Linked DNA regions of Styela clava. The protein of the gene in region 2 purifies or fractionates together with the protein of the main gene of each other region. This does not show direct contact. Links are inferred from orthologs where the notes say so. Each region holds a gene or a part of one and is shown on either strand. Other genes may lie near its edges.

What was found. Proteins that work in one complex are often made in the same cells at the same time.
Region 1: the proteins of cytosolic iron-sulfur assembly component 2A-like (region 2) and cytosolic Fe-S cluster assembly factor narfl-like purify together in Homo sapiens (affinity purification with mass spectrometry; 4 studies listed by BioGRID and IntAct, with this or other methods). This does not show direct contact. The link is inferred for Styela clava from reciprocal best matches to the Homo sapiens genes CIAO2A and CIAO3.

What each region holds. Positions count from the first base shown.
Region 1 is NC_135251.1:30,001,165-30,004,923, forward strand, and holds the start of cytosolic Fe-S cluster assembly factor narfl-like, read left to right. Parts: upstream 1-1,547; 5' UTR 1,548-2,093; coding exon 2,094-3,557; 3' UTR 3,558-3,759.
Region 2 is NC_135252.1:20,979,208-20,982,966, reverse strand, and holds the start of cytosolic iron-sulfur assembly component 2A-like, read left to right. Parts: upstream 1-1,123; 5' UTR 1,124-1,261; coding exon 1,262-1,301; intron 1,302-1,942; coding exon 1,943-2,072; intron 2,073-2,995; coding exon 2,996-3,129; intron 3,130-3,759. Other genes in the region: uncharacterized protein LOC144421077, read left to right, coding at 256-813. UniProt on the Homo sapiens protein: Component of the cytosolic iron-sulfur protein assembly (CIA) complex, a multiprotein complex that mediates the incorporation of iron-sulfur cluster into extramitochondrial Fe/S proteins.

The DNA.
Region 1 (3,759 bases), on a different chromosome or scaffold from region 2:
TCAAAATTTTGTGTGATAGTCTGAACATTACGAAAATCTTATTCCCGAATTTAAGATTTGGTTTAAATTCGTATTTCAGTATTTAGGAATAATCCAAATTTTAGGCAAACACTATAAACCAATGAAACACCACTGCAATAAATACGCATATGAAAATGAGATGCTAGTATTTTATGTTCCATTAATTCCCTAAGTTCTGTAGTATAGTAGTAATCTCTGCTAGTTAAATCACGATGAAATGATAAAGACAGAAGCGTAAATGAGATCCTAATTACTTTTTGCAATTTTTTTTCCTAAAATGTGTTGAACCCAGTAATAAGAAAACAATATTCATCATATCAAATTAAATGTTACCATCCAATATATTTTCCTTCCAGATATCAGTACGTCACATGATTTTAGCATCAGTGGTATCCATTCCAATTACAGAATTAAAACACAGCATCAAGCAATTAAAACATGCATTATCCATTTCAGCATTTTGATAGAATTAAAGATGTTTAAGTTATTAGAAAGGCAGAATCATAGGGATAGGATAGGATTTACATATTTATCCCGGGGGACCACGGCCTCTCGTCCGGTTACCATTCCAAGTCGGGTATGGGATTAGTTTTTACTGTATTGTTCGTTTTCGGAAGCATGGACTTGGTGGTGGAGGAAGCCGTAACCGACCAGCGGTTACGTGAACCACCCAACGACGGCGAGGAGTCCAGCAATCCTCTCGCACATAACCATCCCTTCATGGGATTTGAACCTGCGAACCCACGCAGAGTAATTAGAGGTGCGGTGTCGAGCGTATTCCTAACGCTTAGCCCGTTGAGCCACACCGTCATAAATTCAAAAGTTTTGAAATAGGCTACCAATTAGCAAAATTATCAATGATAGGTTTCTGGCTTTAGATGGGTAAATAAATGTCACTTTTTAGACCCCCTGATCTTCCAATTTCAATTCTGCACCCTATACCGGTAGATGTAGAGTAGAGTCTAAACTTTTTGTTTGCTGTCCTGTCCTATCTGTTACCGGTACAGTACTTTTAATTTTAGTACCGTACCAGACTGGATTCCATGGCAGATGCACGCCCGAGGGCGCTAGCGCTCCACAAAAATGCACGCGAGCGAATTCAATTTTGCACGCCGAAAATTTGCAATTGCTCACCAATGTAAATCGGTTTAGATAGTTTTTTAATCAATAATCTAGTAATATAAAGATGCCAAAAAATTATAACTTTACAATTGTCGACTAATACTTGCTTGCAAGATTTGGCCTGATCGAAAAATGCGAAGCAAAAATCACCATATCGTGTTGAATGATAGGAATTCCGTGAGAAAAATCGCCTCCTCACCGACGCTGGCCAGTTATGGCTCTGATTCAGCGTATTTTTAAAACAATAATTTTACACGGATGTACTGAACAGTACCGGTATCTAAAGTCGCACAAACACTCTCAAAATTAGTGACAAAATATAGAAATGATGTTTTGGGGGTCAAAGGTCAAACGTCCATTTTTTGCTATGATCCAACTCATTTTTACGCGGATGTATTGAGAGGTATCTTAGGTCGAAATCAGTTTAGCGGGCGCAGTTGTTTTGCACGCCGTGAACTATAATTGCACGCCAGAAATTCTTATTTGCACGCGGGAATTTCTGATTGCACGCCCGATTTCTCGTTCGAAAAGGCCATGAAATCCAGACTGGGTACCGTACTTGTTTTTATCAACTTTTATCATCTGTTATGCTCATTATGGCACTATGGAGTCGAAATAATCTTTAATCAATTATAAAACATTATTACCTAATTCTACAAGTTCTATTTCTTTGAGCAAAAGCAATCATATTGAAAAAAAATTGTCACGATACATTCAATATATTAAAATTAGTGTTAAGCGGATTCCTCCCCCGAAACCGCATCAATCTGTCTAAGTTACAACTTCTGTAATCTTGAGTGAAAATAAAATGACACGTTTCGCCATTCTTTGCTCTTTGTTGACATCTTACGCTTACGGTTATGACATCGCAAACCAAACATTCTTCAATATGTCTGAATGCAGGAATGTGGATGATTCTCGTTGCGTGTGAGTAAAGTAACTGAGGAACAATGGCTTCTAAGTTCAGTGGTGCTCTTCAGTTAACTGATTTGGATGACTTCATTGCACCATCGCAAGAATGTATCAAGCCGACACAGATTAAAAAGCCTTCAGTTGTATCGCTAAATAAAGGGATAAAGAAGAAATCAAAAATAAGGCTGGATGATGAAGGTAATTATGTTGATGCGGCAAATGAACAAATCAAAACTTTGCAGAAAGCTGAAGTATCTTTGAGTGATTGTTTGGCATGCAGTGGATGTGTTACATCTGCGGAGTCTATTCTTGTACAACAACATAGTTTTGAAGAGTTTTATAAGGTTGTTTTGTCGAATAAATCTGAAAATCATAAAAGATATATTGTTGTTTCAACGTCTCCCCAAAGCAGAGCATCTTTATCTGCTCATTATGGACTTAGTCTTGAAGAGACTGCACTATTTTTAAGTAATTTCTTCACTAAAATTGGTGCAAATTTAGTATTGGACACTGCATATTTTCGCCAATATGCACTTGATGAATGTAGGAAAGAATTTATTGAATCATTTCAAAACAATGCAAATTTGCCAATATTGACATCAGCATGTCCTGGCTTTATTTGCTATGCTGAAAAAACTCATGGTAAACTTGTGATTCCACATTTGAGTAAAGTGAAATCACCACAACAAATTGCAGGATCTTTAATCAAAAGTATAATTCCGAGTGTTTCCGAAAACTCACCAAGCTCGGTATATCATGTGACAGTAATGATGTGTTATGATAAGAAATTAGAAGCAACAAGAGAGGACTTTTATAATGATATTTATCGAAGTAAAGATGTTGACCTCGTTCTTGCAACAACCGAGGTTCAAACTATGATTGAAAAAGAATCCATCTCTCCTAAAGACCTATTATCATTGGATAACCATACCACTCCTGATGTTTCATCCATTCATAAAGAATTACGGAAAGCTTTGTTAGCTCCATCAAATCTTATTAGCAATGCTGGTGGTGGTTCGGGAGGATTTCTTGAATACATTTTCAGGTCAGCTGCTAAAGAACTTTTTAATAAGACTGTAGACAAGATCGAATACAAAACAATAAGAAACAATAAAGATTTCAGAGAAGTGATTCTTAATGATGATGATGGTAATGTTCTTCTACGCTTTGCATGTACATATGGATTTCGTAGCATTCAAAATTTGGTGCAAAAAATGAAAAGAAAAATGTGTAAATATCACTATGTAGAGGTTATGGCTTGTCCATCAGGTTGTCTCAATGGCGGTGGACAAATTAAAGATCCCAAACTGAGTAGAGATGAGCAAAAAGAACATCTTGCACTTATTCAGAAAAAATATGACGAAGTTGAACCTCAGACTGAACTCCATGATGTACCTTCTCTTGCTGATAAATTCTCTGCAAGTGATTTGGACATGATATTGTATACAAAATATCACGCATTAGAAACAGATAATGCGATAGGGCTGGGTATTAAATGGTGATGGAATGCTTTTAAATCTGATTTGTTATAATATGATTTCTTATAAATATAGAAACAGCGCAATACACATATTACTAACTCCATTAGTGCCTACTCGTTTGGATAAATATTCCAGCAATATGTGCAACCTTGTTTTCAACTATGTGAGCTGTGCTTTGAACATATACTGTAAAAAATATAGTATTGTTCTGTTTGCTAATCTA
Region 2 (3,759 bases):
CGGGAATTCGATATCCCACACCTGCAGACTTGTTACAAATCCTACTCTTTTTTTAAGGGTTGGTCGAACTTGCGATCTTGGCTGCCAAAGTTTTATTGTTTTTAATTGCAATGTGTAGCCTACTTTAAGGGTATTTGAAATAAATCACTATCTCTCCTCATTTGCCACATCTCTGTGCAACATGTCATAGACAAGGCTGCAAGGATTGAAATAAAATTCCATTGTTTTCATAACAGATTTTTATTAAGCAATGAAATGAATTTATTACGAACTGCAACCAGGAGGGCTTTGTTACTAGAACGCCTAGTTTTTGTCGAAAAACATTTGTTAAATCAGAAAAACTGGCTGGCAAAGTCAATACCAGCATGCAACTATGCGGAGAAAACATATACAAGAAAAGTGTTTCGACCGGCAATAGGAGATAATGATGTTGTTGAAATTGAAGAACAAGAAGTCGTAGACAAAAGAAAGACTGAAAGTGAAATTTATTTAGAGAGAAAAAAAGAAATTCATCAAAATAAAAAAAAAGTTCGAAAATTAACAAGAGTAGATAAAATGATTCTTGTTTTTGTTGGGAAGTTTGAAAATATGAAAGATGTTCCCGATCAACTGACTTTTAAAACTCTTGAGAAAAAGCAAGAGGCTGATGCTGAAGTAAAACATCTCATGCTTGGAAGCGTTTTTAAATATGGATATTTTTTCGAGTATGCTTCTTTCTTCATGACTTTTTCTCTCCTGGGATATGCACTTTATTATTATAACAAACAAAAAGAAAGTGCGGAAACATCCACTAGCAAAAATGCTGATTCATGAAATTTTATGTCACTACGTTGGAAGTAGTCTCTCATAAGCTCAGAGCATATACTCCGAATCTGACTCAAGAGCAATTAAAAAAAAATTGACTTTGTTAAAGCTGAACTGTGAAAAAGGAAAGTTAAAGTATCATTTCTGTGCACATAAACGATTAATGTTAGTTTCACCAATTTTTATCATTATTTGACAACACCTATAAAATGTGAAATAATAAGATAAACTGTATTGAATTTTTCAGATATTTATTATAATGTATAGGTGGTACCTTAATTGGTTTAAATTCTTGCTAGATTATAACTGTCTGTTATAAAAGAATAACCTTTGTCATATTGGTTTTTGTTTGGTAAAATTATACATTAATGAATTTGATATATTTTTGTTTCATGATAATTTGTATATCTTTAAAAAACAGCTACACTTTTTGTGTCGTAGTTTTGTAAATACAACAATGGATTTGGACATTGACACACACAAAGGGACAATATATGGTATGAAAAATGTCAACTGTTAGTCGTTTATGCCAGGGCTGTAAGGTCTGACAAAATTTACAAGCTCCAGGCTGAAGTAAATCGTCGATTCGATGTTAAGAAGAATTTTGACTGCCAATTCTATGTGTTAAAAAATTTTGACTACAGCTTCGAGCAATGATTCTAGTAAATTTTTTTTTATTCTTGTAGTTCCCAGGCCTTTAGTGGTCGATGTTAAATTCGTTTAGAAATCAATCTTCTTTATTTCTAAACGAGTGAACATGACTTTACTCTAAGAAAGTTCTTTCAAAAAAAAAAAAATAGTATACCGATGTTGTATTCATCATTTTTCAGTGCTCCCGTAGTATGTGAACCAAGATGGCAGACACCGAAACGTAGTATATGTACCAGGTTAGAGTTAGGCCATAATTTTATTCTAATTTTCCTCATTTTAGTTCTATTACGAGTTCAAGGACTAGCCAAATGACTCCTGCAGTATTTGTACTTGAAATTATGGTCTGACCCAGTACATATACTACGTTCCAGAGTCCGCCATCTTGGTTCACATACTACATGAGTACCCATTTTTCCACCAGTTAATGTTAATTGGAACCCTTTTTCAATGAAAACTCTGGGATTACTAATTGTCACCTTTGTTATAGATCTTCTGCGAACAATAAAAGATCCTGAAAAACCTGGAACTTTAGAAGATTTAGATATTGTGTATGAAGAAGGTATCAGAGTAGAAACAGATGCTGATCAAGAACGATACTTCGTCGAAGTTGATTATAAGTCAGTATAGTTCTTGTATTATTCTTGCTATTGGGGTTAGTCATTTTCATTATAGCTGTTTTGTATTTTCACTGCCCTTGCGTATATGTCACTGGTGTGGGTAATCCAGTAGTGTGTGTACCATGTTAGGGTTAGGCCATATTTTTATTCCGATTATTTTAGTTCTTTTACGAGTTCGGAGACTGTCTGTTTTAGACAAGTAAATAAAGCCCCTGATTTCAGTTCCTTTACACAACTTGATATAAAATGGGCGAATAATATTAGTTACCTCCACTTCTGGAGCGCCCTGGTGTGTAATATCGCAATGCTTCCACGTTCGTTTTGTGAGAATTTCATCTTGGTTTTCACTTATATTCAATGTCACAAGATGATGTGGGGCTGTGGGCATGAAGTACTTTTAAGTTTTTTTTTGTGTCCTGTGCCTTAAAACATAACAGAGTTTAAAATGGATTCTTACCTTATTAATGCTGGGGTGTGCGTCATGCTTAGAGTTTAGAAAAAGCTTGTCATTGCATCACTTTTTGATCCTCTGACGGTTCATTGTGTATTAGGTGAGAATATAAGTCAGGAAACATGGTGACCTTCTTTCTAATAAGATGTTAAGCTAGGAAGAATTATGTGTGGCTAGAGGAAAGTCGATAGGACTGCTTAATCATATGGCGACCCACAGTTGTCCGGTTACCAGACCATGTCGGGTATGGAATCACTTAGCCATTTATTTGTTGTCGGAAGCATGGACTTGATGGTGGAGTAAGCTGTAACTGACCAGTAGTTACATGAACCGCCCTTTGACGGTGAGGAGTCCATCCTCTCGCATATAAGTTAACCATCCTTGCATGCAAGCATATTCCTGACACTTACTGAACTGGTGATGCAGCATCCTGAATGAACAATCTTAACAGCATTAATATTCAATATTGCAGACCTACGATTCCCCATTGTTCACTTGCTACACTTATTGGACTATGCATGAGAGTTAAATTAGAGAGAAATCTTCCAACCAATCATAAAATATCTATCAATGTTGCTGAAGGCACACACAACACTCGTGACGAAAGTAAGTGAATTCTCGAGGAGCAGTACAATTTTTTATACTGTGCTTATATGTGTAGTGTTTCGCCCCCATCTGCAAAGTTCCCTAACTTGCTAAGCTTTCCCCGAAACATCACACAATGTTTGCACCCAAAATAAGAGGCTTTTACTGCTACGATTCAGTATGCACAAAAGTAACTAATACAACTTGAACAAACGGCAAATGAGAATATCGGTCAGAGACCGAAGACTTATCGATCGAAAGTTAGGGGATCCCCCAAAACAGCGCTCTTACTCCATAGTAACACCTGGTGTTCCATCATTAATTAATTAATATCTCGCTAATTATACGACATAATTCATCCAAAATCAATATGAATGCACATGCAAAATCTGGAGCAGATTCAATCTCGCTTTCGTGAGATATCGCGTGCATCTAACAGACAGATACTTATCAACATGTTTACCGATTAAAATCGATAAGTAATAACCATACATCAGGCTGCCTAACTGCTGGGTCCACACTTTTGTGTTAGCTGAAGCATGGTGCTTATTTGACACAGTGCTTTTGAACAACAGTTGGCCCATTATGCTAAGAGTTAAGAACCCCAAACACACTGCGGCAAATCTTTATGTACCGGAGGATTTCTGGACT